Cricetulus griseus: one gene and its partner. The protein of the gene in region 2 interacts with the protein of the main gene of each other region in a pairwise test. Links are inferred from orthologs where the notes say so. Each region holds a gene or a part of one and is shown on either strand. Other genes may lie near its edges. The genes, in order: Nbr1 and Syt4.

Region 1 (17,363 bases), on a different chromosome or scaffold from region 2:
CCAGGCTGGCCTCGAACTCACAGAGATCCGCCTGCCTCTGCCTCCCGAGTGCTGGGATTAAAGGCGAGTGCCACCAATGCCTGGCAATAAATAAATCTTAAAAAAAAAAAAAAAAAAAAGGTTACAGTTGGAAAGTGTTTTCTACTTTCTTCTCTTTCTCTAGAAGTAAGCCAGGGTTGCCAGTTTCAAAGGTTCAGATCCAGATGACTGACATAGGACCCGATCTCTTGTGTGCGTGTGTATGCAGTGTACATGCATGTGGGGGCTGGAGGACAACCTTGGGTGTTATTCCTCAGGCACTGTTCACTCCCACCCCCCTACCCCCCACCCCCCGGTTTTCTTTTTAAGGCAGTCACTCACTGGCTTAGAAACAGCCAACTAGGTTGGCCGACCTGTAAACCATAAAGGATCTTCCTGTGTCTGCCTCTTTGGTGCTGATATCACACATATGTACCACACCTGGCTCTTCAATGTGAATACAGGCACTTCCACTTTGTGAGAGAGGGTCTCTCTTTTTTTGGTCACCACTGCACATGCCAAGCTAGCTGGCCTGTGCGCTTTTAGAGATCCTCTTGTCTCTGCCTTCCATCTTGCCATAGGAGCACTGGATTACAGATGCATCAGGGTTACGGACATAACGCTATGCCTGGCTTTATGTAAATTTGGGAGATTTGAATTCATGTATTCATGCCTGCACACCACCTCTTTACCTAATAAGTCATCTTTCCAACTCCCTTTAAAAAAGGTTTTAAACAAACAAACAAACAAACAACATAGATTCTGGGGATCAAACTCAGGTTCTTGTGCTACCTCCCCAGCCTCCTGGCCCAAATCTTTGATGACTGTCCAAATGGTATAGGGACAATGAGATGTAAGGCTGAGTTGGACAGATAGGGCCATGCTCTTCATACCTGTGCTGCAGGCTCCTCTGTGGTCTTCATATCTGATCCTAGGACTCTCACCAGTGAAGAATGTGCAAGAGGCTTCTTCCCTGTCCTGGCAGCCACTTGTTTTTCTACTACAGTTGGGGGGAATGTTTCATCTACCACATGGCACCCTTCATGGACTTGCATCTGTAGTTGGTTTCCTTGCTTAATGTTAGCCATCTGGAAACATGTTACAAGAGCATGTTAAAAAATAAAAAATACACCGTGATTCTCTTTTTCCAAATGAAATGTCAAAGCATGGACATATAGAAGCATAGTAAAATATGCTATGACTTTTGTTTGCATTTCTTATTTATTTATTTATTTAATCCCAAGTGCTGGGATTAAAGGCATGAGCCACCAACGCCCAGCTGCATTTCTTTTTTAAAATGTATTTATTATATATACAGCATTATGTCTGCATGTATGACTACACACCATAAGAGGGCACCAGATCTCATTAAGGATGGTTGTGAGCCACCATTTGGCTGCTGGGAATTGAACTGAGGACCTCTGGGAGAGCAGTCAGTGCTCTTGACCTCTGCATCTCTCTAGACCCTTGTTTGCATTTCTAAAAGAACAGGTCAAGCACCTAAACTTTTGAGGTAATGACATGATGCCACAAATGGAAAATTAGCACCTGGCATTTTATGATTAGCAGTAATCAAAATATTCTATACTAAGACTACTATAGAAAATTACCTTCAGACTATGTAAAGAATGAGACAAATTTCAAATTTAGTCTTAGGACCCATTCCTAAGATATCTCATTATGAATGTACAAATATCCAAAAGTAAAAAAAAAAAAAAATTAAAATAGACACACATCAAGTTCCAAGAACTTTGGATAGTGTCAACCTCCATGTTATCATCTAGCCTGCTGTCAAGAATATTAACTATAAATAGCTTTATTGTGTTAAGGTTTGAGGAAATTTCTTTCTTTTCTTTTTTCGAGAGACAGGGTTTCTCTGTATTGCTTTGGAGGTTGTCCTGGAATTCTATCCGTAGACCAGGCTGGCCTCGAACTCAGAGAGACCCACCTGCCTCTGCCTGGGATTAATGCCATGAGCCACCAATGCCTTGCTGAGGAAATTTCTAGGTTCGATTTTTCCATTAACTAGGTTCTCCTTTCATTTTTTTGGTTTGTCTGTTTTGGAGATGGGGGTCTGTCTGGGGTTGCCCTCCTGGCCTCCAGCTCAAAGTCCTCCTGCTTTACCTCCTAGGTACCACAATTACAGGTGCGTACTACCATGCCCGGCTTTTAACTGGTTGTTCTATATTAACTCTAATCTCAACTTTCTAAAAAACAAAAATCAATTCCAGACTAACACTAATCACGGAAACTTAAAGCTATTCCTGATAGCTAAGCATTTACTTTTCACTAACCTCGTATTTTACAAAGCAAGCTTAAGTAGTTGTATCTTTGTGAAGAGCATCTTCCTAATAATATATTTTGGAAATTCTGTCAAGAAGTAGTTTGGCTTCGATGAGGGAACTTAAGTGTTTAAGAAAAATTAGGGATCAAATGGCTAGGTTTCTAGCCCCACCCCCCTTTCATAGCTGTTTTCCTATACAATAGACTTAAGATTCCATTTAAAATAACACTCCATGTGTAACTATGTCAACTGATGGATGAACTAGCTCATTAAGTTCATTGTCCTAATTAGGATGCGATATAGAACACTTCCCTAGCATGCACGAGGTCCTGAGTTAGATCTGTGCACAGCAATATTTTGGTTTCTTCTGTTGCTCAACTTATCCCTAAACTAGGCTCAAACAAGCCTCCTGCCATTTCTTTTTGTTTCTGAGACACAGTTTTACCACATAGCCAAGGCTGGCCTCAAACTCACTGAATAGCCTTAGTGGTCTTTGAACTCAATGGTGCAGGTGCCTTGGCCTCCCGAGTGCTGGCATTAGAGGTATAGCTCCACACCCAGGGCTTCTTTTGAAATGGTGAGATGGTGGCACCAAGACCAGCAATGAGAGGACAACAACTTGAACTCTATTAGGAACTGCCTGCTGCTGAGTCACATGACCACTTCCACAGCAGTCTCCCTAACAAAACAGATGACTTTCCAGTGGAGATTAGGGTTCGATAAATATTTTTAAAATTACTTGAAAATAAAATGAAGTAAACATTACCTTAAGTGCTTCTTCATATTCTTCTAAAAGGACCAAAAAAAAAAAAGAAAGAAAAACAATAGTGACTTATTTTTACCAGTCCTAAAGATTCCATTGCCTATTATCAATTCTACAGTTTTTTGTTTTTTTTTTTTGGGGGGGGTGAGGGTGGGGAGTGGGGACCCAGCTATGTAGCCCAGGCTGGATTCAAACTTTTTTTTTTTTGGGGGGGGGAGGAGTTCGAGGCAGGATTTCTCTGTGGCTTTGGAGGCTGTCCTGGAACTAGCTCCGTAGACCAGGCTGGCCTTGAACTCACAAAGATCTGCCTGCCTCTGCCTCCTGAGTGCTGGGATTAAAGGCGTGCGTCACCACTGCTTGGCTTTGGCTTTAAACAATCCTTTGTGTGTTGTGATTACAGAAGGGCAACATAACACTTAGCTAGTACTTTAGTTCTACAACATGAAGAATACAGTTAACAATAATGTACTGTATTTAAGAATTTTGCTATAGATTTCAGCTACTCTCAACCCTGAAGTGGCAGGCAGGGTGTGGGGGTAGCAACTGTGAGATGACACTTTTTAATTTCTTTCATTGAACTAACATGTTTTTAAAGCTATTGATATGTATTTCATATCAATGTTATACATCTTAAAAATATAGTTTATTTATTTATTTATTTATTTATTTATTTATTTATTTGTTTTTTTGGTTTTTCGAGACAGGGTTTCTCTGTGGCTTTGGAGGCTGTCCTGGAACTAGCTCTTGTAGACCAGGCTGGTCTCGAACTCACAGAGATCCGCCTGCCTCTGCCTCCGGAGTGCTGGGAAAAAATAGTTTATTTTTAAAAAGTAAACCCAATCCTACTCAAATTCTTATAATTCTTACATATGGATAGTCACTACCTTTTTGCTAGACAAACTCCCTTATTGTTGTACGGTGCTTTTCCCTCTGGTTGTAACATTCTTGGTCTCTCCCCACATAGTTATGACAACCAGAGCACAATACAGTGGCAGCCAGAACTCTTGCAATGGAGCTATTGGTACTCTACGAAGGTGTCCAGAGACCCTTGCCTGAGATTCCAACTCCTTTCCCCAGCTGTAAATGGTCTTGAGAGATGCCAGCCTATTTAGAAAAGTGAAAGGATGGCTAAAAACAGGACTCCACGATGCAGTGAGATTGCAAAATATGAAGGGGTGGGACTTAGAAGTGATGTAGTTGTTGTTGGGTGGGGGGTTGGGAGGGTGGGGGTTGCCCACACTCCTATACATAATTCTGCTCTACAAGAAGGCCCAACAAACTCACTGGTTTCACCAAGCTGGACTTTGGTGAGATTGTGTTTTGATCTGTTATTGGTGCCTACCTGGTAGGGCTGGACATTGATTTATGTCTCTCCAGGAAAAGTGAAAGTAACAATTTACCCACTGCACACAGAAGCTATTACAAAGCAAGTTCCTCTTAGTCCCTCTGTGCTGCTCTAGCCTTCTCAATACAAGAATCAACCCAGCTCCTCTAACCAGGCTTTATGAAGTACAAGATTCAGTGGGGTTCCAGACTGTGTTAAGACTATCATGCTACCTGATTCAAATAAGGCTTTAGGGACTAAACTATGGACCATAACCAACCATCTGATGAACATGGGAACATAGTTTGCTTATGCATTGAAATTCACGTATGTGCCAGGTCAGAACAAATGCAACGCTAGCAGAATGAATTATATGTGGTGAACAAGATGTATATTATTTTCAGAGGATTAGCATCTTAAAATATAAAGTTGGATAACACCCGTCCTTATGGTCCATGCAAATGTATTATCTTCTATTTTTTTTTTAAGTTACACAATAAAAATCCCTTATGAGGCTGGGTATGTAGTTGAACTGGTTGAGTGCTTGCCTAGCCTGCACCAAGCCCTGAATTCGATTCCTAGTACTGCATAAAGTGGGGGTAGAGGCATAAACTGTAATCTCAATATTCAGGAGGTAGATGCAGGAGAATTGTATGTTTTCTTTTTAGATAATTTTTATTTCTATTTTTATGTACACTGGTGTTTTGCCGGCATGTTTTTTGTTTATGGGTGTTGGACTCCTTGGAACAGGAGTTATAGTCAGTCGTGAGCCGCCACGTGGGTGCTAGGAATACAACCCAGGTCCTCTGGAAGAACAGCCAGCACTCTTAACCACTGAGCCCTCTCTCCAGCCCCGACAATCTTATGTTTAAGGTCATCCTAGGCTACACACCGAGTTTGAAGCCAGCCAGGGCTACCTCCTGAGACTGCCTCAAAAAGAAAAAAAAGAAAAAAAGAAAAATCTATGAAACTAATGCCCATGGTACAGTGTCAATTTACAGCACACCAAATTCTATTCTAAAAATGAATGCTTGAGCAAAACATAGTTGAAATGGAAACACCTCAATGAGCAGATAAATTTTATTCACTATGTAGCCCAGATTGCCCTTAAACCTGAAATCCTCCTGCCTCAGCCTCCTCAGTACTGGACGTGCAGACAGATTTTACCATGTCAGGCAAATGTGAAGTATAGCTGACTATATTTTTCTCAGGAACTCACCTTGACTATTGATGGATACCTATGAAGAGAAAAAGGAAATGGTGAATGCTAAGTCTCATCACCTGAGCATTTATGTTAACTAGGGCCAGTCTCATGGCCAAGTCCCAGCTCAGGTGTTTAGCATTTCCACTACTATTTAAATAATGTGCTGTTTTATCTTAGGGACAGTAACAGGCAGGACAGTGTAGGGCTAGGAGCCTGGGATCTGAAGCCCCTACTTCATTACTTTTAAGTCTTTGGGTAAGATCTCTCATCTCTCAGGGCCTCTTGCTTCCTCATGATGAAAAGAAGATACCCGATACAGCACTGCTAGTCTGATGCATTAACCACTTAGCAAAGAGCTCCTATTAGCATAACCATCATAAACTAAATGATAGCCTTGTTACAGTTTTAGCTTCTCTCTCTGATATTCTCCATGTTGCTTTCCCATGTCTCAGCTCCATCTCAGATGCCATAATGGTCATGAATGAAGTACAGGATTATCAAGTATATTTAAACCATTAGGCGAATGAGATAACATTATTCTGAACCTCTTTCCTTTATGGCTCTCTAAGACAATCTAATGTTCTAAAGCCCAGGTTGGCCTTAAGCTTCCTAGGATCCTCAAGCTTCAGTCTCCCAAGTACTGGAAATACAGGTGTGAGCCATTACAATGGACTTTATATTCTGAACTTTTGAAACTCTATCACTCTGGAAAAGATCCCTATTCTAAATATTTAGAAGGGGGCACACAGTTACTTTACCTCCTCATTTTCCTCATCCAGGTATTTTATTTGAATAGTATTCAGATCAAATGAAACTTTTACCTGCAAATGAAACAAATGGATCAGTGTATCTCAGTATATAAAATTAAATATTTTAACTTTGTTCTTTTTTAGTCCCCCCCTCTTTTTTTCCCTTTTTGGGCAGGGGGTGGTTTAGTGTGGATCTTTCCAAGACTATGTAGCCCTTACAGCTCTTACAGCCTGCAGGTATCAGCCCACGCAACTCAGAGTGAGGCAGAATTTCTTGAACCCAGAGCTCACCAATTAGGCTAGCCTAGTTAAACAATTTGCTTCTGCTTCCAGGATATGCTATGTAGGCTGGCTTAAGTACCATGTTACAGACAGGGCATAACACCCACCTGACATTTATATAGGTGCTGGGAAACCAAGAGCTGGTGCTCATATCTACATGGCAAGGGCTTAACCCTTGGAGTCCACTCCCTGGCCCCTTATTTTTATTTTTTGTGATGCTAGGGTTTCAATGCAGGGCTTTGTGAATGCATGAGAAGTACATTCCCAGCAAAACATCTGTTTTTTTTTTTAAGATTTTATTTATTTATTATGTATACAACATTCTGCTTCCATGTATATCTGCATACCAGAAGAGGGCACCAGATCTCATAATGGATGGTTGTGAGCCACCATGTGGTTGCTGGGAATTGAACTCAGGACCTCTGGAAGAGCAGTCAGAGCTCTTAACCTCTGAGCCATCTCTCCAGCCCCAAAACACCTGTTTTTTGAGACAGCGTTTCTCTATATTGTTTTGGAGGCTGTTTTGGAACTCACTCTGTAGACCAGGCTGGCCTCAAAACTCAAGAGATCCGCCTGCCTCTGCCTCCCGAGTGCTGGGATCAAAGGTGTGTGCCACCAACGCCTAGCTCAGCAAAATATCTTAATACAGTTTTAAAAAGCAACTCAGAGGTTGTGGTTAGCAGTTAAGAGCACTGGCTGCTCTTCCAGAGGACCTGGGTTCAATTCCCAGCACCTACATGGCAGCTTACAACTGTATGTAACTCCCTCACACAGACACACACGCAGGCAAAACACCAATGTACATAAAGAGTAAATAAAGAAACAACTACTACAAACTCAAAGAAAACAGACAGAGAAAATATCTGCAAGTGGTAACAGATAAGGGAGTAATAACTGCAAACACAGAAAAGATCATCAAAACTGACAGGAAGATTGATACTCCAATAGTCCAGTGGTAGGACACATCTTTAAGTTTCTACTCCCAACACTTGGGAGACAGAGCCAAGCAGATTTCTGTGTCTTTGAAGCCAGATTGGTCTACATAGTTCCAGAACAGCCAGAGATACACAGAGAAACTTAAAAACAAGACCAAAAAAAGATTAATACAAGTGACAATGTGCAGAAAATTTACAGAAGAGGAAACAGGAATGCCCAATACATAAAAACATTCAACTTCACTGCTACACAGTGTAAATAGACAAGCCAGCAGGTTCAGATGGTAAACTTTTTCTTATGTCAAAACATTCAGGGCAAGGGACATAGCTAAGTGGCAGAGTGCTTGTCTAGCATGTAGAAGGCCCCATGTTTGATCCCCAGCACTACATACAAAGCAAAACTCAAGGCATCCAATCATTTTTTTTCTGTGTACTGTCATAATTCTGTAAAATATTTGGCAGTTATCCATTAAAATTTTTTTGTTGGTGTGTGTGTGTGTGTGTGTGTGTGTGTGATGCTTTTTTAGTTTTTCGGCTTTTTGAGGGGCCCACCACCCAGCTCCCAAATAAATTACACATGGAGGCCTATTCTTAGTTATGAAAGCCCAGTCTTAGCTTGGCTTGTTTCTTGCCAGCTTTTCTTAAATTATCCCATCTACCTTTTGCCTTTGGGCTTTTCCTTTTCAATTCTTGTATACCTGTCTTTGTTTCTTATCCTAAGCTTGCTGTGTAGCTGGGAGACTGGCTCCCAGAGTCCTCCTCCTTCTCTGGCTACTTCTTTGTGTTTCCTTCTATTTATACTCTCTGAGCCCAGTCCCGCCTATCCTTGCTCCTGCCTTGCTATTGGCCATTCAGCTCTTTATTAAACCATCAGGTGTTTTAGACAAAGACTCACAGATTCACAGAGTTAAACAAATGTAGCATAAACAAAAGTCACACACCTGAAAATAATATTCCCTAACTTTTCTTTTTCCAGACAGGATTTCTCTATGTAACAACTCTGGCTGTCTTGAAACTCGCTATGTAAACCAGCCTGGCTTGAATTCACATAGATCCATCTGCTTCTGTCTAACTGAGTGCTGGGATTAAAGGTGTGTCCCACAACTGCCCAGCCCACTAATGTTTTTAATTTTATTTTATGCACATGGGTGTTTTGCCTTCGTGTAAATCTGGGTACCAGGTGTGTGCCTGGTGCCTGCAGAGGCCAGGAGAGGGCATCGGATGTTCTAGAACTGCAGTTAGAGATAGTTGTGAGCTGCCATCTGGCTGCTAGACTGGGTCCTCTGGAAGAGCAGCCAGTACTCTTAAACACCTGGCCATCTCCCTAGGCATTATCTATCAAAACTTAAAGTCAGGAGGCAGAGGCAAGTGGATCTCTGTGAGTTTGAGACCAGCCTGGTCTACAAGAGCTAGTTCCAGGACAGCCTCCAAAGCCACAGAGAAACAAACAAAACAAAACAAAACAAAACAAAGGGGAGGGAAAGGGACCTGGGATTGACATGTAAAATAATTTTCTTTCTAATTAAAAGAAAAAAAAGTGACACAGGATTAGTGATCACTGGAACATTTTATTAACTGTAGGATTTATTTCTACTTTTCTCTTCAATGAGCATTCAAGGTACCTCTGAAAACACCTTAGCCATGATCTCTATCTATGAAATGGATTTTAGGTCAAATCCCATTCTAATAAACAACTGTTACATTTTTACATTGACTTATGCTTCTTAAGTAGTATTTTAAATAAAAGAGCATTGTCACTGTGACAACAACAACAACAACAAAAAAAACCAAAACAAAACCCCCCAAAACCCTTAAAAGTCAGGGTTAATGATATGGCTTACACAGTAAAGTATTTGTTGTATACAATATACAAAAGCCTGACAACCTGAACTCACATAAAAGTACCTATAGAACAATACATAAGTTATCCATATAGAGAGATGCAGGTCCTGTCTATTTTATAATGTGCAAACAAAGAAAACCCTGGTGGGGCAACCAGTAACAGTTACATCCACAGTGTTCAGCAACACTAGCAACACAGTGGACTCATAGGGTAAGAAGATGAGCTTTGCTTTGTGTCTGCCGATTAAAAACTATGGCTACAATATACTGTTGGGCAAGAAAAACAACCTGCAGAACAGTGTTTCCTATGACCCTAGCACGATACCTGCATGAACATGGAACATGGAAATGTGGGGAAGTACTCAGTTACCTCCCGTTATCTAAAGGAGGTATGGATAGCAGATACAGGATAGAAGTTTGTGGACAGACATTATCTCCTTACATGTTAAGATTGTTTCATGCCTTATAATGGGCGTGTATTACACTTTTATAACTTAAACTTTTACAATAAAAGACAAACGTAAGCTGTCAACACACCCCGCTACTAGGGAAAGAAAGGTAACTGGTGTTCAGATCACTTTCAAAGATCCCACTGCTTTCCCAATAACCATCTGCCTAGCAAAGGATAGAGCGGAATCTGGGGAATGCAGGGGACTAGAATGTAACACACTGGAAGGTCCCTCTAACATCTCCTTCCTTTTTAAGCTACCCACACAGATAATCAGGTCAAGACATGTTTGTAACCAAATGGTTACATTAAACACAGGTGCCCAAATAGTAAAACATTGACCAAGGCAAACCAATGAAAGCAGAAAAGTACAAAGGGCAAGCCAAATGAGAGAAACTATGAGCAAAAACACCCATGGGGTTTTGTTGTGCTTTTTGCCAATGTTGAGATAGCCAACCTTTGACCCAGCAATAAAGCAACTGGCAGGTCTTGCAAAATACTAGTCCTATCCTTGGCAGTTAACAAACAGCAGCGATGCATCTACTCTCCAGCCAGACAACATTCCCCTACAGCCTGGCTAGGGTGGAGGACACACTAACTTATCCCTCAGACTATTTCTAAAGTATGTTTCTAAATTCTATTTCACTTAATAATTTTACTTGAGTTTGATACCTGGGACTTATACAGTAGAAAGAGAGAACCAACTCCTGAAATTTCCCCTGTAATTTTAAAATGTTTAAAGGAACAAAGCTGTTTCTTCTCTTTATCTTGGTACAAGTCTTATACAAATACTGAACCCTTGTCAAAAACTATTTTTCAAAATATCCAGAAATGGTAATGATGACAAACTTAACAGTTATGAAATGAACTGCTAAAAATAGGTACATTTTAAAAGACTGTGTTTTAACCCCTGGAAAACAGAACAAAGTGATACTCACCATAGCTTCAACATCAGCCCAAGTTGTATTTTCTGGATCCGAAACCAGAAAGCTTTGAGTTTCATTTTTAAAAGTCACGTTTAGGGTAACCTGTGGTTCCATGCTGTGATGTGGGGCTGAGAAAATGAATGGTTGAAAAAAGAGGAAGGGATTAAAAACCCACAGACACACATTAGGTTTAATATATGTTAGATTTGGGAGATCATAGTGAATAAGAGAAACAATGTCCCTATTGTTACATGATTTACTATCTATTAGTGTGTTATACATCAAATCTCACTGTTACATAAGGATTTCTCTTTCTCAGAAATAAAGACACTATGCCATAAAGATGTGTGCTTATGCTACAGAGTTAAACTTATTTAGAACTTACACATTAGAAATAAAAGTCAAGGGCTGGAGAGATGGCTCAGTGGTTAAGAGCTCAATGGTTAAGAATGCTCTTCCAAAGGACTTGGGTTCAATTTCCAGCACCCGCATGGCAGCTCACAACTGTTTGTAATTCTACTAGGGGACCCTACACTCATGGCAAAGCACCAATGCACATAAAATAAGATTAAAAAAAAAAAAGGAAAGAAAGAAAGAAAAAAAATGCACATTGTCACACACCTGTAGTCTCAGTTACTCAAGAAGTTGAAGCAGGATGGTAGTTGGAGTCCAAGAGTCTAGGCCAGTCTAGAAAACAAGGAAACCCTGTCTTTAAAAGAGGTGTAGAGCAGGGAGGGAAGATAAAAGTCTCATGATAAAAATGTAATAAAAATCCACATTTGTGCTGGGTGTTGATGGCGCATGCCTTTAATCTCAGCACTCGGGAGGCAGAGGCAGGCAGATCTGTGTGAGTTCAAGGCCAGCCTAGTCTACAAGAGCTAGTTCCAGAACAGACTCTAAAGCCACAGAGAAACCCTGTCTTGAAAACAAACAATCCACATTTTGGACATATCTACAGACACTCCCCTACCTTAAGTCTATAAGGTTTTCTCTGCATTTTCCAGTGTTTGGTTGTTATCTGTAGCACAAGCCAACAAGATAGAGAACAGAGACAAGGTGTCTGCACTCTGGGAGCAGCAACAGAAGCAGTTTTAGGTAGTCAGTTCAAGAACAGTCTGGGCTACAATGAGCACTTGTCTACAGAAAACAAGCAAGCAAACAAACAAAAACACCAATGCCCCCCAAAACCCAAACCCCAAACAACAACAACAACAAACTTCTATTACTTGTGGAAAAAGCTATACAAAATTAAAGAATGTAACACAAGGAGTCCTCATGGACCTATCAGCTTCCACAATTAGCAACTAGGAGCTAATTTTGTTAGTCAGTATTCCTTCCTTTCTAGTGTAAGAGAGAGAGGGAGAGAGGGAGAGAGAGAGAGAGTGTGTGTGTGTGTGTGTGTGTGTGTTGAGCAGATGACAAAGGGGCTTGGAAGCTAGGAAGGTACTCTACCACCATGCAACAACCTTGCTCTATGTCTCTCTTGACAAAATATTCACCCTTTCTTCCATAAATACTTATAAAATGAGAAAAATGAAAAAACCCATCATGATCATGCCTAAGATGCTGGCAATTTTTTAATCAAATGCCTATTGTTAAAATCCATTTGATTTTAGCCGGGCAGTGGTGGCACACATCTGTAATACCAGTGCTTGGGAGGCAGAGGCAGGCATGATCTCTGTGAGTTCGAAGCCAGCCTGGTGTACAATGCCAGTTCCAGGACAGCCAAGGCTGTTACACAGAGAAACCCTGTCTTGAAACACCCCCACCCCAAAAAAAACAACCTATTTGATTTAAGGAAAGACTTTGCTTACTGGTTAACTGTGACTTTAGGAAAAAAATAGTGTAAGTTGTTTAAAGCTACAAGCAATAGACACTGGCAAAAAAATGTCACCTCTTAAAATATTCATCTCATTTTCAATCTGCATGTAGAAAGAGCCATATTCGGGTCAACAAACAAGAAATGAACTTGAGTCCTAGATGTTTCCAATGTCAAAGAAGGGAGCCAATAGGGTGCAAACACTTGGGTCCCAGATACAGCTCCACCACAAGATTGGCTGTGCAACTGTGAGCAAGACTGTTTATCTTTGAGCTTCACTCATTTAATATGTAAAACAAAGACTATTCTGCTGACAGTAACAATGTTATCAAAGGGATCTAATAAAACCTTGGTCTAGGGACAGGGAGTAAGGAACCAGTCCACATATGTGCAAAGATAAGGGGCCATTTCCAGTACCACAAAGTATGTAGGATTCTTTCAAATAGTATTCAAATATGAAAATTATTACCATAAGAAACAATTCCTTAGGTCCTTAAGATAGCTTCTACCTTGCTATTATAACTTTGTTTTGGGTGGAGAGAGACAGGGTTTCACTCTGTAGCCCATGCTGGCCTGGGGATTGCTATGTATGTAGACCAGAGAATTGTCCGCATCTGCCTCCAGAGTTCAGCACTGTGGATACAACTGTACAACTGTCATTTTAAGAACCTTGTACTTTTTTTTTTTTTTTTTTTTTTGGTTTTTCAAGACAGGGTTTCTCTGTGGCTTTGGAGACTGTCTTGGAACTAGCTCTTGTACACCAGGCTGGCCTCAAACTCACAGATCTGCCTGCCTCTGACTCCCAAGTGCTGGGATTAAAGGCATGTGTCACTGCCACCCAAGAACCTAGTATTCTTAATCACAGATTATTTTAGAGACTCAATTATCCAATTTTTTCCATGACTTGTCTTCATCTAGAGTTAAGTTCACTGTCAAAGCTATAGTCTCTAGCATCAATCCTGTGGACATCCTGCATTCATACATTTACCCAAAATGCAATTCTTCCTTAGGATCTTTAAAATTTAGGCAGAATCCCACCAACCCTAGGTTTTTGTTTGTTTGTTTGTTTGTTTGTTTTTGTTTGTTTTTAATAAGGAAAATGAAGTGACTGAGTTTGCCAAAAGAAAAAATTCTGAGGTTGGGCTGGAGAGATGACTCAGTGGTTAAGAACGCTGACTGCTCTTCCAGAGGACCCGGGTTCAATTCCTAGCATCCACATGGCTTCTCATAACTGTGACTCCAGTTCCAAACACCAATGCACACAAAATAAAGATAATTAAAAAAGAAAAAATTCCCAAATACACTCGCACTTTCCAACTTCAAGAAATACACTTCCACACAGTTCTGTCTGGAAGGAAACTAATCTTCCCTGTTCTCAAATGACAGGAGTGGGAATTAGTTTCCATACTTTGGAGTTCATCCAGCTGCTCTGTCAATGTGAGAAAACAGGAAGCGAGAGTCTAGTTTATCTAGCCAATATTCAGGTCTTCATAAAGGCCGGACCTCACTGTGACTTACGTGTGAAAATTCTTTCAGGCAGAACATTAATGTTGAACTTGTGAAAATATCAAAGGTACAGTTAACCCCACATATTACCTATTGTTTTGCAGCCAGCGGTCAGGTGGCCGGGCCTAAGCCTGCAGCTTTCCTAAGTGGCACTGTAAACGCATGCCTCATTGACTCACACTCATGTGACAAAGTCAGCTTTTCCCCATAGGATGTTTTTCCAACGTCGACAAATAATATTAATATAGGGAATCTCGGAATCTGAACTCTATTGTGTCTACCAGAGGTTTAAAGCCGCCTAAGCTTTAAAATGGGTGATCTGAAAGCTGGGTGCTTGACAAAAAGGGAAAACGATGCCTCTCTAAACACGGAAGGTTCTAGATCAAGATACCTTCAATAGAGTCTCAAAAAGAGGAAAGCTCAGAATGAGGAAGATGTGTGTCCCTTCTTCTCACACACTTAGTCCTAGTCTTCCAGCAATCGTTTCCTGGAACTCCATGTCCCCGGGACAGTGAGTGTCACCACCACCGGAGGCCCCTCTTTTGGTACTGGGGGATTTCGACTTTCTCTTAGCAGAAACTGGCCTTTCTAAGCCATGAAGACTCTCCCTCAAGCAGAATCCACACCCCACTGTCGCTGACAACCCAAGCGGCTCTCTCATCTGGTCCCTGAAAGGACTGGCTGCCCTGAACACGGAAAAAAGTCACTGCTCTTTTCAAGATTCTCCTTGAACTTCCCCGAGACCTCTAAGAACGACGTGACCCCACTCGTAGGTAACAGCGGCGGCCTCCTTACCAGCTTTCCGCCCCCGGGGGGCGCTTGCCCGTGGCCAGTGCAAGGACCGTTCGCTGCCAGCTCGGCTGCTATCCCTGCGGGGTGAATCTAACATGGCGGACAGAGACCGGGCCCAGTCCCATGTTTCTCTGAGTTTCCGACAAAACGATTGGTTCTAACTATTTGTCCCTCAAAACCACCGCTGCACCGATTGGCCAATGCTGCGTCGGCAGGGGCGGGACAGAAGCTGTCTGAACCGCACAACAATAACAAACACCCAGGCCGAGGGGCGGAACTAGTGCGTAGATGTCAGCGGAGCGGATTTCCCGTTCCCGAGCCCATTGGCCGCCCTCTGCTTTCCCTGAGGTCACTGACCTTGGAGAACTAGTTACCCGAGAATCGCGGGGCTGGATGGGAATTGTAGTATTCCTGGGACTTGCAGCTTCTTTCAGTCTAGTCTCTGTGAGCAAGACATGAAAACAGAACGCTGCGATGTACTGCAGCTGACCTGCATAACCGCGAGGAGGTTTCCGCCGTACTAACTAGGTTGTTGTGGTAATCGCGCCAGCTTCCGGTGTTGGAAGCGCCTCTCCCTTAAGACTACAGTTTCCAAGGGACGCGGTGGAGAAGTCCTTTCGTCCCGCAATGCATGCTGGAATTGGTAGTTCTTTTTACATAATCCTTTCTTTACCTAAACTGGAGACTTCCATGGCAGGAAGACTAAGGGAGGGATGAGGACTCTGCAACTGCTTTGTTCACTACCTTGCGCTCATCTTCCGGCCTTGGGTAGCGATCCCGACCCTTTGTACACAATTACTGTGACGTAATAAGCAAGCGTAGATGCGAGGGGGCGGCTGCCTAATAGGAAACTCAAAATTCTTTCTCTTCCGTCTCTTTCTAGTTACGACACACAAGGAGAGACCAGGTGGCCAATCCTGAGCCCGGAAAGAGTGTCCACCTCTTTTTTTTCCTCTCCCTTCCGCTGACGTGTCTGGATCTTGTGTTCCTAGAGGCCGGCGCTAGCCGCCAAGCGGCCGGTTTCCTAGGCGACCGGGAGCGCGGGAATTACAGATAAATTGTCATTGCGGCTGCGCGGCGGGCGCCGGTGCCGCGGCGGGACCTAGTGCTTTCCGAGCGGCTTTCCCGGGATTTGGGCCAAGGGGCTGGGGAGCACGGACGTTTTGCTCGGGGTGAAGGTGAGACAGCTCTGAGGAACCTAGCGGTAGTCGAGTGAAGGGCGGGAAACTGCAGGCGGAGACAGGTGTTTACCAGGTAGGAGAATGCCCGGGGCGGGACCAAACTGAAAGGACTCCTGGGGGGTGCAGCTGTGCGGAAGAAGGCTAGGGAGGAAAGAAGGGGCGTCCTGGCTGTGGTCGTGCCGAGAAGGCAGTGTAAGCATGGTGGCTGAAGGATGAGAGGAAAGGAGGGCGGAAGTGTGGCAGGGAAATCCATGTATATTTCACGCAAAGGAATGCCAATAGTAGTAATGAATGCTGTCGGCAGGGGTACTTGTTCAAAGACTGCCTTGAGGCTAAGTGCCAGAAGGGGGAGGGTGGAGAAGCGTCAGCAGTGTTAGTGTGTTAGTGTTTGCATTTGGTGACTTAAAAAAAAAGTGCGTTTCTTTCCATTTGTTTGTTTTGGTTTTAGTTTTGTTTTTTTTTAATTTATTTATTTATTTATTAGTTCTAGTTAGGGAACAAGCTTGTTTCACATGTAAGTCCCTTCTCCCTCTCCCTCCCCTCACCCCATCCCTCCTCCCCCACCCCCAGCCTACCCCCACCCCATCCACCCACCACTCCCCAGGCAGGGTAGGGCCCTCAACAGGGGCTCTGCAAAGTCCACCAAATCTTCCTGTGCTGGTCCTGGGCCCTTCCCCATGTGTCCAGGGCCAGAGTGTAACCCTTCACGTGGGATGGGCTCTCAAAGTCCCTTCTTGCACCAGGGAAAAATACTAATCCACCACCAGAGGCTCCCTGGAGTGCAGAGGCCTCCTTATTGACATCCATGTTCAGGGGTCTGGATCAGTCTTGTACTGGCCTCCCCGACAGCATCTGGGGTCGATGTGCTCTCCCTTGTTCAGGCCAATTGTTCCTGTGGGTTTCTCCAACCTGGTACAGACCCCTTCCTTCTTCATTCCTCCCTCTCTTCAACTAAATTCCCGATTTCAGCTCAGTGTATATCTGTGGATGTCTGTCTCTGCTTCCATCAGCTGAAGGAACCGGCTTCCCTTTTGGCAGCCATAACAGCCGAACACGTGCTTGCCATAAACCTGCCTTGGTCAATTAGAGGTCAGATGCCTGTCTCGTGACAAGGAACCTTAGTCACTAAAAGGTCAGATGCCTTGTGACAAGGAGCCAATCAGAAGTTACCTGGTGGCACTTTACGACCCTGGGTGTGCTTTACGGACAAGCGCACGACAATGACGTAGAGAGCATAGCAACCACCCTGGGAGGGCCTATGAGCCATAACAACCAGTTGACCAATCAACA
Region 2 (15,603 bases):
GTGGAGAAAAAGGAACACTCCTCCATTGCTGGTGGGAGTGTGAACTGGTAAGACCACCCTGAAAATCAGTATGGTGGTTGCTCAGAACAATGGGAATCAGTCTACCTCAAGATCCAGCAATTCCTCTCTTGGGCATATACCCAAATAATGCACATTCATACAACAAGGACATATGTTCAACCATGTTCATAGCAGCATTGTTTGTAATAGCCAGAACCTGGAAGCAACCTAGATGCCCCTCAACTGAAGAATGGATAGAGAAAATGTGGTACATTTATACAATGGAGTACTACGAAACAGAAAAAAGCAATGGAATCTTGAAATTCACAGGCAAATGAATGGAACTAGAAGAAACCATCCTAAGTGAGGTAACTCAGTCACAAAAAGACAAACATGGTATGTACTCACTCATATGTGAATTTTAGACATAGAGCAAAGGATTACCAGACTACAATCCTCTTCACTGTAGGGGATGCTGTCGTCACGCCTGCTTAGGAGCTGGGTACAGGGGACATAGAGTGAGGGACACTTATGTGGTGGGTGGCTTTCGGTTTCGCTTTTGGCTTGCTGTACAGACTGCTGCCACACGGGCAGTAAGTAAGGCTTTTTTCCCTATTAAAATCCCTTGTATTTCTACGTGGCTCCATATTGGTAATTTCCCACATTGCTTCACCAAAGAAACTAGGAAACAAGAAGGACTCTAAGGGAAAAACGCATGGACCCCAGAAATGGGAAGGGGCAGGAACTCCTGAGCTAATTGGGAGCATGATGGTAGGGGAGAGGGAGCAGCCAGAATGAAAGCAGGAGAAGAGGAAGAAATGGAGAAGCAGAAATATTGAGTTGGGGGAAGAATAGAGGAGAGCAGGATGAGAGATACCATATTAGAGGGAGTCATTATAGGTCCAAGAACAGCTCTGGCACTAGGGAGACTTCCAGAGACCTACAAGGATGACACGAACTGACAATCCAGGATTGGTGGAGAGGACAACCTAAATGCCCTTCCCCTAAAATGAGATTGATGACTAATTTTTATGCCATTCTAGAGCCCTCATCCAGTGGCTGATGGAAGCAGAGGCAGACATCCACAGATATACACTGAACTGAACTCTGGAACTTAGTTGCAGAGAGGGAGGAATGAAGATTGAAGGGGTCGTTACCAGGCTGGTGAAACCCACAGAAACAGCTGGCCTGAACAAGGGGAGCACATGGACCCCAGATGCTGTCTGGGAGGCCAGTACAGGACTGATCCAGACCCCTGAACATGGATGTCAATGAGGAGGGCTCTGCACTCTAGGGGGCCCCGATAGTGGATTAGCATTTTTCCCTGGTGTAAGAAGGGACTTTGAGAGCCCATCCCACGTGAAGGGGTGCACTTTTGGCCTGGACACATGGGGAAGGGCCTAGGCCTGGCCCAGGATGATGTGGTGGACTTTAGGGAGCTCCTGTCGAGGACCCTACCCTGCCTGGGAAGCAGAGGGTAGATAGGGTGGGGAGGTAGGTCGAGGGTGGGGGGAAAGAGGTGGGGGGAGGCGAGGGAGAGGGAGAAGGGTTTGGCATGTGAAACAAACTTGTTCCTAATTTGAACTAATAAAAAAAAAGAAAAAAGAAAAAAGAAAGTGCTCAACATCCTTAGCCATCAGGGAAATGCAAATTAAAACAACTCTGAGATGTCATCTTGCTCCTGACAGAATGGCTAAAATCAAAAACACCAAGGACAGTTTATGTTGAAGGGGATGTGAAGAAAGGGGAACACTCTCCACTGCTGGTGGGAGTGCCAACCCATACAGCCACTTTGGAAATCTGTATGCCGGTTCCTCAGGAAAATGGGAGTCTACCACAAGATCCAGCAATTCCACTCTTAAGCATATACCCAAAAGAAGCACATTCACACAATGACATCTGTTCCATGATGTTCATAGCAGCATTATTTGTAATAGCCAGAACCCGGAAGCAACCTAGATGCCCCTCAACTGAAGAATGGATGAAGAAAATGTGGTACTCATCGGAAAAAACAGAATCTTGGAATTCACAAGAATATTGATGGCACTAGAAGAAACTGTCCTGAGTGAGGTAACCCAGTCACAAAAAAGACAAACATGAGCCTTCATCCAGTAGCTGATGGAAGCTGAAGCAGACACCCACAGCTAAACACTGGAACCCAGTTGCATAGAGGGAGGAGTGATGAGCAAAGGGGTCAAGACCAGGCTGGAGAAACACACATAAACAGCTGACATGAACAATGAGTAACTCATGGACCCCAGACTGATAGCTGGAAAACCAGCATAAGACTGATCCAGACCCCTGAACATAGATGTCAATTATGAGGTCTGTTTAATCTATGGGGCCTCTGGTAGTGGATCAGCATTTACCCCTAGTATAAGCATGGACTTTGGATCTCATTCCACATAGAGAGATACTCCCTAAGCATAGACACACTTGGGAGGGTCTAGGCCCTGCTCCAAATGATATGACAGACTTTGAAGATTCCCCCATGGAAGGCCTCAACCTTCCTGGGGAGCAGAAAGGGGATGGGAAAGGGTGTCGGTGGCGGCAGGGGAGGAGGGGAAGGAGAGGGAACTGGGATTGGCATGTAAAAGAAGATTGTTTCTAATTTAAAGAAAAAAAAGAAACAAATGCGAAAAAAACAAAAAAGTCAGTCCTTTATGGCTGCATTCTATTCACAAGAACAATGTACCACATATGAACACCATAGCACACTTTCACATGGGTCAATACTGCCAAAGGTATCTGATTCTCAAGGCTCTTACTGTTATTATTTACCCGGTGGGACTGTTGCACTACCCCAAGTTTTCTTTCCTTCTCGAAAATGAAATATATCTGTACTGTTTTGCTATTCTAATAATAGTGTAGTATAAGGATTCGGGAAAGATTCAAAATAGTACAAAGAAGTTATATAAAATAAGTCAAGAAAACCTGAAATAAGATAAAGAGAACGAAACAAGTAAAAATATATTGGGAACCAAAATGGTTGAGAAAAAAACATCAAAATGTGGGAAAGTAAATAAAAATAGAAAAAAAAAAAAACCTAAATGAGCAGGGGCTCCTTTCAGAATGTAGCAGAATGATGCCCAGCAATAGGGGAGAGGCAGCTTGAAGTGGCCATCTCCTGGGATCAGATTGTGACTACCCCGGTTGTCATCAGAGAGCCTTCACCCAGTAACTGATAGAATCAGATGCAGAGACCCACACCTAAACATTAGGCCAAGCTGAGGGAATCCTGCTGACGAAAGGGGGAAAAAGGATTATAGAAGTCAGAGGGGTCAAGGACACTACACGGAAACCCACAGAATCAACTAACCTGGCTCATAGGAGCTCACAGAGACTGAACCAACAGCCAGGGATCCTGCACGGGACCAACCTATGCCCTCTACATATATGTGATAACTGTGTAGCTTGGTCTACTTGTAGGACTCCTAACAATGGGAACAGAAACTGTCCCTAATGCTTTGGCTGGTTATTGGGAATCTATTCCTCATACTGGATTACCTCACCCAGCCTTATACAAGTGGAGGTGCTTAGTCTTACTTCAACTTGATACCCATGGGAGGCCTTCCCCTTTCTAAACAGAAACAGGAAGAGTGGATGAGGGATGGAGAGGAGGGAGGGGGAGGGAGGGGGAGGGGATGGGAGGAGAGGAGGGAGAGGAAAATGCAGTAAGGATGTAAAACAAATTTTTAAAAAAGAATCTAGCAGAAAGAGCTAGGGATATACAGTGGTAATGAAGTGGCCTATCATGAATAAGAATGTGGATTCAGTATCCCTCACTGCAAAGATAACAATAAAGAATTGTCCATATGAAGACTGTATCTTTGCCTATGGCAGTACACCTCTGAAACCACAGAACTCAGGAGACTGAAGCAAGAAGAGTGTGAGTCTAACATTAACCTGGGCTACCAAGACCGTGTCCTGAGATCTAGAAGAATCTAGTGAAACCAATTGACAAAACTCCTGCCTGTCCCCACCCTTGATGAGAGGGAAATAGGCTGGAGGCAGGAGTGAAGAATGCCAAAAGAAACCTTGAGCTATCTGTGTATGTACCATTGAGTCCAGTACCTATGTTCCCTAAGAACCGGGCTTCACTTTAGGTTAGGCACATCTGCCTGAGATGACTGTCAAAAATTAGGCAAAATTCATAGTTCCAAACATGTAGATCTTGTTGCTCGGCCTCCAGTGCTCCCTAACCTATGTGTGTGGTCTATCAGAAAAAGAGAAACTCAGAAAGCAATAGATAAAACTTACAACAGAGGTTGTTTGGGCAAAAGCAGCGGTTTATTCATGTCTTACAAACATACAGTGCTGGCACAAAAGAACAGACACCATCTTCCTGACACCATGCTTCCCTCCAGATCACTTCTACTGCACTACAACAAGTCAGAACAAGTCAGCTACTGAATCACACAGTTCTTCAGACACGGCAACCTCCCTACCGGGTGGTGAGACTGGCTAAGCAGACAATAAATTAATTTACATGTTTAATACAGTGCAGGAATTGTAGCAGAGTTGGATATTCACATTGATATTGTAATACATTATAAACAGTACAGTTTTCAGAAATGATGGGATCACTTAACTCCCTGCCTGTTTCAACTCTTCTCTCGCTTTTCTTTTCTCTTGCTTTTCTCTTTTGTCCCTTAAAACCAGTTATAAGTAGTTGCAACCAACTTATCACCTTCAAAACACTTTAAATTGTGAAACTAAAAACTATTTACAAACAATTTAATGTGATTTTAAAAGTATCTGTTGTCAGACTTGTTTCCTAGTTTTTTTTAAAAAAAAAAAAAAAACCCTTTTCCAATAAACATCCTATAAATTGGATCACCATAACTTCCTGCCGCTTTGTAGGATATTTGGAAATGATGTCTCATAACATTAGAGCTCCAAGCTATCCTACATTCCATGGCCTATGACATCAAATGTGCAGACATACAAAGGCCTTCTGGCCTCCCCAGATTCCACATGACTGCAGTTCATTCCATGTTGTTTTCATAGACTGCTGAGTAGACAGAGACGGGAGATGACATTGTCACTGGGTGACAATGAGTGTGGGAAAAGCATAAAAGAGGTTGATTTCAATCTTTGTACACACAGAATGAAATACATTTCCTTACAGAAAGTTTGACTTTTGTCATAGTCATAAAAAGCACAGACAAGTGGTTTGGAAATACATTTCCATTGAATTTACAAACACTGTGATAGCAAACACATTCTCAGAAATGGCTAAAGCACTGACACAAAACTTGACTCAAAGGGTAAAATTTCCAGAAGACATTATCTCTAACTTGCATATTTAATAATTCAGCTGGACCTAAGTCACACGCATGACTCTCTAACAGCTCAAAGAGAAAAACATCACCATCGAGTTAAGCCTTCCCAGAGAATGCTAGAGTTCTGCTTGCCTTGAACAAGTTTGGCAAGAATTTCAGAACTTAGCAATTGGGACTGGCACAAGACATGATTCTTTAAACTATCTTAAAAATAACTGCTCAAGACAAATTGGCCTCCAAAGATAGTGCAGAACACAATGTCTGCGCTAATTTTACAGCTTAAGTATATTTTGTGAATATTTGTAAATGCTGATAGGATTATTCTTCTCTTGTCTTAGTCTTTTTACTTGACGTGGTTGATCTCAACCTGACAATGCACAGAATTTAACACATTTTCTTTCAAAGTAACTTAGTTCTTCCTGGAAAAGAATAAGTTAAAGACTTAGGTAGCCATGCCCTCTCTGAGAGGGAAAGACAGCCTTGAAAATACACTTGTACACTGAGAGATTTTTATAAAAAACTGTATTCTTAGCTGAATTTCTAGCTTAAGTTTATTTTTATCCACTAGATAATCTGACAGCTTCACAAAGGTAAATAGGAGTATCTTAGGCCACACTGAGGCTTGTAATGGGCAGTGAATAATTCAAGACCATGGTTCTTATGTGAAGTTACATTTTACATGACTCACTTGTGATCCTAGGGAACAAAAAATCTCATTGCAACCACAGTGTTCTTCAATTCAGCCCTTTAATAAATTAATTTCTCAATGTGTTTGCTGTCTTTGCGAAATGAACCTAAGCTACCCCTTTTATGATGAGATTGTATCAAATAATTACAAACCAAATGGAAATGACAGCATATCATTGATATATAGGACAACCATTTGTACATGACATATCTAACTAGAAAACAGACTTGAGGACATTTCTGAAATATCTTTGGATTTAAATAAAACCTTATCTACCCAACATGAAGGGACATGGGTTAATTTTCTTACAAAAAGGTGTGGTTTTCATTTTGAACTCTTAACAATCACCTGGACTTCCACTACCAAGGCAAAAGTGACATCATCATCTACAACACACACCTACCTGTGACTTGAGATTAAGCTAGAAAGCTCATTACAGGCTTGGTTGGCCCACTTAAGACCACACAAAGGGGAACTGATTATCTAATGAAAATTTAGCCAACACCTGTAATAAAGGAGGAAATTATCAAGATACACATTTACAACTGTTTTCTGGTCTAGTGATTTAATCCACTTCTAACCAAAACAAATAAATAGAGATAGATAGATAGATAGATAGATAGATAGATAGATAGATAGATAGACAGATGAATAAATAAAAGTAGCTTGCTGTGCCACAAGCTTATAATCATGTATAAGAAAGAAAATTGCTTCTTGCCTAATAAAAATCATGGCAGGGAAACTACCCATCACAGAGCATATGCCACTTAGCAATTTGTCTCCTAGGAAAGTCACAGATCTCCTTCCAATGTCCCCCACCGCTTCCTTCTGCTGTTGCACCCAGGACCAACCGCCCAATGACCTCATTTCGGGATCCCCGTTCAGAATCCAAAACTAAAAACTCAACGCTTATTTCTTCAAGACTCTCACAAGGAATATCAAAGACAAACAGTTCATTGAACACTGCATTGGGAGTGCACTTTTTAACGTGAGTCTTCTTTTTAGAGATCCTCTTCTTGGCATGGTACAGGTTCACCTTGACATACGGATCTGCAAAGACATGCCACAAGTGTTAAATTGTCAACAGTTAGCTACAGATCCAACCTAGGAGACAACATTTCAGTACGGTGGAAGTGAGTATCTTCCAACATAAACAAGTATAAATTAATAGGAAGTGTGGATATGGTTGACCTTTCTGTTAATCATAAAATTGAAAATGATGGAGACTAAAAACCAGTTCCAGATCTGATGTTAGGGAAGGAACCGTAATAGCAGAAGGACTAAACAAAGGGGGAAGAAAAAGGGGTGCTGCATACTGCCTCCTAGCAACGAATACCAGAAAGTGAGATGAAGGCAGTGTCTGGGATTGCTGATTTTATGCTCTTGGGGAGTCTGGCTCCTGGTGGCTGCCACTGTTGTTGAACAGAGATTTGGAAACCATACTGGTCATGCCCTGCATTTTAGCTTTTCTGCAGGTGGTTAGCCAGTTGCAGAATTTGCTTTCAGTTTACCAGAGTTGATCACTCCTGTGACATTCTTACTAAATGGGTTTAGAATCATGTAACTTCATCACATATTATATTATTTTTGATTGCAGTATATATGTTATTTATCTTCATGATCTCAAGTTTTCAGAACTTGTCTTCAATTTCTACAATCAAATAATGATAATACCACTTGATGATTCTTTATTAAAATATGTATTTCTAGCTTTCAAAATGCCCTTCAAGTATTACTGTGCCCAATTTCTATAATGTTTAAGAAATATGAAGAGGATACTATACTAAGAAATGGAAGGGTGAAAATTTTAATTAAGATGTCTTTAACCTGTAACTTAGCTTATTTTCTTTCTAATATTCTACAACAAACATTTTGATTTTTCAGTTATTCAAAACTAAAATTTAATTCTTAAAGCATATATATGTCATTAAAAGAAACAAATAAGCTCACCAAAGAGTGAATGAGTAAGTCATTTGAAACGCGAAAGTTCAAAACTCTCTTTCTGAGCAATGTTAAGCTCTGTCTTTTCCTCTTCATATGTCATTGCTTTCTGCTTTAAGCCATTCACTTAAATGTTCCCTCCTCACTAACGCTGTCTTACAGGCATATGAATTTCCCTGTACTGTTGGCAGAATTGACTCAAATTTTTCCCACAAAGCAAGGAAACAAAAATCGACAATCCCAGTACTCATGATTGAGAATGTCAGAACAATAGTCCAGTGTTAGTCCACAATGTTTGTGAAACATAGTAGCCAGTTATAGACAGAACTCCGGGGTTTCAGAGGCATTCTCACCTGAAAGTCCAGACACATCAGACTTCGGTAGGTGCCGTGCTTTTAAGACAACCACAGTGAGCGTGTTTGTAGTGGACTGATAGCAGAGAGAGACCAGAAGCTCTCCCCGTCCGGAAGACTTCTAAACAAAGACAATACAGTAGACACAGTTTTCGTTTGGGGCTTTTGTACTCTTGTCACAAAACATACAGTACCATAATAGCTTTGTTATTTCAATGTCATGTTCCTATTTATTTTTATTTAAGCAAGCTAAGGAATCTGAGAAAACGCTTTTGTGCAGTCCTATAATGACTAAAACCATTGCCTGCCATCTTGTGGTTGTTTTAGGTACTACATAGTGCTAAAATTTGCCAGGATTTGACCACACCCAGTACTTACACATGTTTTGAAGGATGTTTATACTATATTCCCAAGATTTTTTACTTTGACTTCTGCTATTTAAGGATATCTTTAACCTTTTAAGTTATTAACAGTAATAGAATACATAATACTGTCCATTGATACGTGTAGGATCACATGGCTGATATTTTATCTTAGTTTAAATTCTGACATTATTGACATTTGAATTCAAGCAAAAGAAAACGTATTCTTCATCCAACCACTATTCTGGACCAGAATCATAATGGAGTTAGAATTCTTGTCCTACATAGTCAAAGTCTTTTCTCAATCTAAGGAGAATATAATTGAATTTAAGTATCGGAGAGAATTGGCTCAAGTTTTAGAACTTGTTTTTGAACAGTAACATGGATTCCTTCACTGCAAGCTACTTATATTTAATTTTATATTAAAGACATTAGCTAAAACAACTAAGAATGCAAAGTGCAAGCTTTAACTAAAACTAACAAAACAGTAACATGGAGCTGGCTTATATTTAAGAACAGCTAAAGAAAAATGTATCAAAAAAAGAATATATAGCTATATTCCTATAACTGGGGAAGACCACCTAAAACTAAGCAGCTCTACCAAAAGGAACAACAAAGAGTGAAAAGCAACCAAGGAGCTCTTTGAACCTAATGGGCCCCAATTGATGTCATATCATTTTCTAATCATCCAAGAATTGTCCAAGTAGTACAAGTAGGAAGGCAGGGTAATTCACTTCCTTTATGTAGCAGGAAAATGGACATTCATAAATGGGCATAACAGGATTTCCCCTTGTTCAAAAGCAATTTCATTCAAATTCCACATTGCATTCAAACTCCACATCCTGAGAAGGGATTACTTTAATTTTTTACTTCACTTTTAAATTCTGCTACTTTGGCCCTGAAACACTTTTGATAACCTATGTTAAGAGACATATCCATGAATTTTAAAGTAGCAGTCTTTTTCAAGATACTTTAATAGGAAGTTTAAATGCCTTTTACATAAATGATGTATAAATATCATAAAGTATGGCCTTTTACTTTATATCATTAAGATTCTTGAGCATTTCAGTTGTGTATTAAATTCCCATTTGCCTTCTCTGTTCTCTTGCTCTCTGTTTGCTGTCACCTACAGTAATTAAGGATAATGTGTACCAACTCATCATTTGAATGAAAACAACATGTATTTTTTTACACCTACACTAAAGATTCCTTATAAATATTTTAAATGCTTAAAGAATTACCTTAGCATTTCTCTTGATGATCTCTCTATTCATTAACATTTTTCCATCTGATAATTCAATCCCTGAAAGAGGGATCAGGACTTCTCCAATGATATCATCTCTCGAAAACCTGTCAAAACTCAAAACTGTGAAATGCAAGGACAACTCTTGGATGTGGGGATAAGGAATTCCGTAGAATGTAAAGGTTTCATCAAAAACTGGGTCCAGTGTCTTCCTCAGCACTCTGGTTTTCACTTTATGCTTCTTCTCCGGTAAGATCATCATTTTGATGTATGGATCAGAGGTCATAGATTGCTCATCCATGGCTGGTAAGCCCTGGGCTTCCTTGATGTTGACCACAAATGCTTTCTTCTCAAAGTTGTACTCTAGAGACAAGAAGAGTGTCCCCAGCTTCTCTTGCTTCTCTTCTGAAGTGAGGGAAGTACTGGACTTCAAGCTCTCAGGGGAAGTAGCCTCCTTTTCTCTCTCTGTAAAGAGCTTTGGGGTCACATTCTCTAGATCAGAAGGGCTGCCAGCTTTAAGGTTGGTTTTGGGGAAATTGCCATTGAGGTCTCGCTTCTCCAGATCAAGATGCAATGAAATTTTTGGCACAGCTGGTTTATTCTTAGCTTCATTTTTGTCATCTCCTCCAAACTTCTTTTTGCTACTTAGGTTTTCAGGGTAGATATCAACTCCTTTGAGCACATGCACAAACTTGTATGGGGGAGTCTTGTTGGACTTAGATGACCTTCTCTGGCAGCAGATCCAAGCAAAGAGAGAGACGGTAAAGACGAGGCCAAATGCACTGACGATCCCCACAACTGTGGGAATTTCATCTGAAAAACCAAATGACCAATGACACACATTAAATCATCAGAATAGAAATGGGAGACTGCAGGAAGATCATAATAAAGCTCTTGCTGTAAGAGAGGAATATTGAATTACTTCCCCACAGTTCTGGGAGTGAGTAATCGTAATGTTTCCCACTAACGTGAGGGTTACACATAGACCTATGTGACACACAGGAAATATGATTTAAAACTCCTTACTTCCATAGATTTTCATAAATAAATGAAAGTGTATCTGGAACAAACATGGGGTCATGTTTAATATTCTCACTTATTTATCTTAATAAAACAAAGTTTTATTTGATCATGAGTCAACTACAATAATATGAGGAAGTACCATTTTCATTATTTTTCATTAACATTTTGAAGCTTTCCAAAAGCATCAATCTACTAATTATGAATACATATATACATTTGTATACATAATAACCAGCAAATATTGAGAAACTCACTAAAAGGACATTTATACATCTGTATTACAACTCATATTAAAAGTATAGTTTACCATATCTCTATTCTATTTTAATACATCTCTAATAAAACTCATATTAAAATGATATCTTAATATAACTCTATTCACCCAATATTCAAGAAGAAAAAGAAACACTTAAATACAGTAATCTATACAACTAAAAATTATGGGAAAAACAGCACCCTGGCCATTTGTTATTGTTACAAATCCATTAAACTTTTATTCCAACTGTGGGGTTGATAAAGAGGCAAACATTTATTAATAAGGAGAAAAAAGAGTAAAAGAAAAACAATAGTTTGATAATAGTTTATAATTATAACATTATAATCCCTTTGCAATTCTGAACTTAAAATTCTTCAAGCCCTGAATTATCCAAAGCACAAAGTATTCCATGTGAGTTAAAAGAGAATAATGGCCATTAAATCCATAATTATTGCCAAAATGTGAGTGAAAAGTGAATATAGACAGTTTAGAGTTCAATTCTGCCCTAGTCTATTTCTATATGGCAAAAGGAGATAAAATTGATAATGGCATTGTTTTCTTAACTTCAAGCACATTAAATCATTGTCATCAAGTGACATGCCAACAGTGATTGTGCATGAAGCATGTATCATTTCATGTGTAAGCAGATTCTTGTAACATTTATTTGGTAACTGTGCTGCCACATCTCACAGTGAAGCAGTGCTTCACTGTGTAAATCTTTGCATAAAGTGAGTATAGCACATTGTGCACATTTAGCTCTATTCTATCCATGTTTTATTTCAAATAGTGAATACTAAACATAAAAGTCCAAGCCCCAAAAGGGTTAACACTGTCTAAGACCAAGAAGACGATTCTTTTTTATGTCTCTTCTTCATCTCCTGAATATTCCGTCCATCTACTTCATAATCATAAAAATGAACTCAAAAGAAATCAAATGGAAAAACAGTAACAGAAATATGTGAGGTTAAAAAATAAAGCAGCAATAAAAAATTCTATAACTTAATTGTGTGACCAAATTGAATAGTGTAAAAAAAATGAAGTAAATATGAGAGTCTCCTAAACAGAAAAAAGTAAATGTGAATACTATAGAAGAAGAAGAAGAAGAAGAAGAAGAAGAAGAAGAAGAAGAAGAAGAGGAGGAGGAGGAGGAGGAGGAGGAGGAGGAGGAGGAGGAGGAGGAGTGGAGGAGGAGGAGGAGGAGGAGTGGAGGAGGAGGAGGAGGAGGAGGAGGAAGAAGAAGAGTTAATCAGCTAAACAGTATCAGCTTCTTCCCTTCTATTCAAATCTCTGTGTGCCCCACATATACACACACAATCTAATAACTCAGGGCAAGGCAGCAAAAGCAAACTCAGGAACTAAGAAATGCTTCGGCCAATACAAGAAGAACAATAAAAGCCAGTGAAATCAATATTTTCTAAGTAGACAGACAACTGGGGATGAACACATGTTCACAAGGATAGTCTCTGAAGATGCCTCACTATGAGAAAATTTCTGGTTTCAAATCAAGAACTGGGTGTATCATACACACATATACAACCAACGATGAAAGGCTGATAAAATCATTTATGCATATTTTATTATCTCTAACATTCAAAACATCCAAGAAAACATGGGCTCAGAGTCTGCTAATGCAACTACTGATACTGTAGCTTTTGAGAGCAGAGATTATGCCATACCACTCTGAGTAATCATAATTGTGATACATCTAGAGATACTATTCAAATATTTCTCCATCCTTTAATTAAAAAATACTTATAGGTAAAAAAAAAAAAAAACCCTGGTCTTTTCCCAATAGAATATAACTGAACCTAGACTTGTTAATTGCTTTTCTAAAAGTCACATCTAGTTTATTTACTGAAGCAGACAAGGAGACCATAGAGACAAAATTTTGGAATACGAACAGGAAAAGCCATTCAGAAAGCAGGATCCTAATCCAAGTTTTGAGCAGCTTTTACTTAACTGTACAGCACTGGACTCCAGAAAGCTCAGCCAGAGACATGAAACAGGCCAAAGACAGTTTGATTTCAAACTCCCCAGAACTATGCTATCACAGAATTCTGTCTATCATTAGAAACATACTTCAGGGATACAAGAACACCTAGCAGAGAAAATTATGACAGTGTAATAAAATACTCATCTCAAATCATCAACATACAAGTTATTTTATGTCATACGGAACTCTTATGTAACCAAAAGAGTATGTGGCTTTCCTTAAAAGATTTACACACAAATAGGAATCATCCAGAAAATAAATGAAGCAGCGTTCTAACAACAGATGTCCTTGTCCTTCCTCAGCTCTGGCTTACAGAGCTGAGTGAACATTCGGGAACTTCTGGAAGGTGAAATCACAGAAGGCGATGCTAAGGAGAAAGCTACCGAGAAAAGGAAGTAAGCCACAATTAACCATCTGCCGTTCCCGTCTTCCTTTCAAATTAGCTACTTGAAAATATACATATTCAACATCCAGTGGCGAGCAAAGCACAGCACAGCCCCGAGCCCAGCCACAGCCCCAAGTTCAGCAACTTGCTCACCGAATTCCACGCGGCTGGTAGTGATAGGAGCCATGTTTTCTGCGTGCTCTGTCCGAGGTGCTGAAGAACTCCAGGCAGATTCACCTGGGAAGACCCTGGAACAAGGCTCTCCGGGGAACAGCCGATCCGGGGACCGCACCTGCAGCGGGAGGGGCTGGAGGAAGGTCTGCGCTTTCTAGCAGCAGTGTGCAACCCTGCCCTGTTCCTGTTTTGGCTCTTCTGAAAAGCTTGTCTCCGAGACTCCAGACGTGGCAGAAACCCGAATTGACGCAATCCTGACGCTACAGGGCTGAAATCAGCACCTGCCCTCCCCCTCCTCCCTTCAGCCGCTCCTCCTCGCCCTCCTTCTGGCACCCTCCCCTCCTCTCTTGAGAATTCAGCTCACACTCACCAATTATTTTAACTGTTGGGCTACTAGATATTAACTATGCTGTTCTGTTAGGCTCAGAGACACGCGAAGATGCCTCCTGAAACGTATCCTTGACATTCTTAATCCAAAATCCTCCTGATCATATACAGACATTAAAATAAATGTGCCCTAGTTATCAGAATATCATAACTTATAAAGGAAATAAAGAGTAAGGAGAGGAAAGCGTCCATATCAAATGCCTACTGTAAGATGTATCCTTATTCCCTGAAATATTCTGTGAAGTATTGAAGGCAAGTCACATTTGAGAGAAATACACTGCAAATTGATGTATTAAAAATATCCACGTTCCCTTTACAATTCCCCATATTTACACAATTTATAGTCTAAATATTTGGTTGGTGTTCCTGCTGTTTTCTGGTCTGTCAGCTATTTTCCTTTTAGTATCTGACATTTGACCTAGTTAAGATTCTTGGAAACAGTTGGAATTACTTCTGACTGTGTTAAATTTATTCTCAGATATGACTTTTAATATTTGGACACTTCTGATATGGTCATATTTACAGCCAAAGTCCCTATCTTCTAAGTAGGTTTCTGCAAACAAATTACAAGAATTGGACCAAATTCTGAAATAATATTACCAGTTACTTTCAAAGGAATGCTATTCTTTGGAATGAAGATCTGGAAAAAATATGCTGTCATATTTGATTAATTTGACTCTTAAGAGTATTACTCTCTAAAACAAACACTGAGCAGATTTGTAAAGAAGAAATATACAGCTATGACTTGCATCTATTACTTAATGTTTCACAGATATGTACAATGTCTTTTGCTCTGAAATTCAATAAAATGAAATTCAGTATTGCTGTGCTAAAGGAAGATGAGGCATGAGATGTCTCAGAAAACTACTGTACATAAGACGGGTGTCTGCACACTGGCAAACAGCTGCCTGAGCGTCAGCAATGTGTCTGGGGAGACATTGGTTTCAGCCCTCTGCATCATGGAAAATTTTCTAAGCCAAAACCTCTTTTCTTTCCCTTTCTACCAGCTCCCACACACTTGGCACTGTAGCATTCTTTGAATAACTGGTTTTTTAAACCTTACATACTCGTAATATGAAAACACAGAAACTAAGTTCTGCTGTAATTTTCCCATGGCAGTGTCTGTGGTAGTGTCCTAACTAATCTGATCATTGGCAGTTCCTCCCTTCTCAGCCCTATGCATTCACCAGTGGAATTGCTCCATTAGACGAAAGTGGCATTTATTTGTGATGCATTTCAAAGTAATCTGATTATGTGATGTAAATTGCATTAAAGTATATGTTTCCCATCTAAGTTATTGTAACATATGGCTAAGCTCATTTGCTATAAACAGAAGTATATTCTGTGTATGTTATATAAAAATTAGTACCTCATTAACTATGCCTTCAGATGGTAAAATGGTGTATAAAACCTGTCTAGATTTTATAAACAGTATTTCTCCAAAACCCAACCCATTGTGTGCTGCCTTGTTTCAGAGAGCTCAGTGAGATAAAATGACCACTTGCCCAGAGCT

The links.
Region 1: the proteins of Syt4 (region 2) and Nbr1 interact in binary tests that used the Homo sapiens proteins (3 or more experiments, as listed by UniProt). The two-hybrid records come from large-scale screens. The link is inferred for Cricetulus griseus from reciprocal best matches to the Homo sapiens genes SYT4 and NBR1.

What each region holds. Positions count from the first base shown.
Region 1 is NC_048600.1:114,592,038-114,609,400, reverse strand, and holds the start of Nbr1 (next to BRCA1 gene 1 protein), read right to left. Parts: upstream 15,654-17,363; 5' UTR 15,250-15,653; intron 15,048-15,249; exon of another isoform or gene 14,896-15,047; intron 11,463-14,895; 5' UTR 11,397-11,462; intron 10,904-11,396; 5' UTR 10,890-10,903; coding exon 10,788-10,889; intron 6,415-10,787; coding exon 6,352-6,414; intron 5,628-6,351; coding exon 5,609-5,627; intron 3,092-5,608; coding exon 3,069-3,091; intron 1,107-3,068; coding exon 912-1,106; intron 1-911. UniProt on the Homo sapiens protein: Ubiquitin-binding autophagy adapter that participates in different processes including host defense or intracellular homeostasis.
Region 2 is NC_048595.1:205,845,851-205,861,453, reverse strand, and holds Syt4 (synaptotagmin-4), read right to left. Parts: upstream 13,717-15,603; coding exon 13,683-13,716; intron 10,686-13,682; coding exon 9,871-10,685; intron 8,389-9,870; coding exon 8,268-8,388; intron 7,024-8,267; coding exon 6,716-7,023; downstream 1-6,715. UniProt on the Homo sapiens protein: Synaptotagmin family member which does not bind Ca(2+). Involved in neuronal dense core vesicles (DCVs) mobility through its interaction with KIF1A.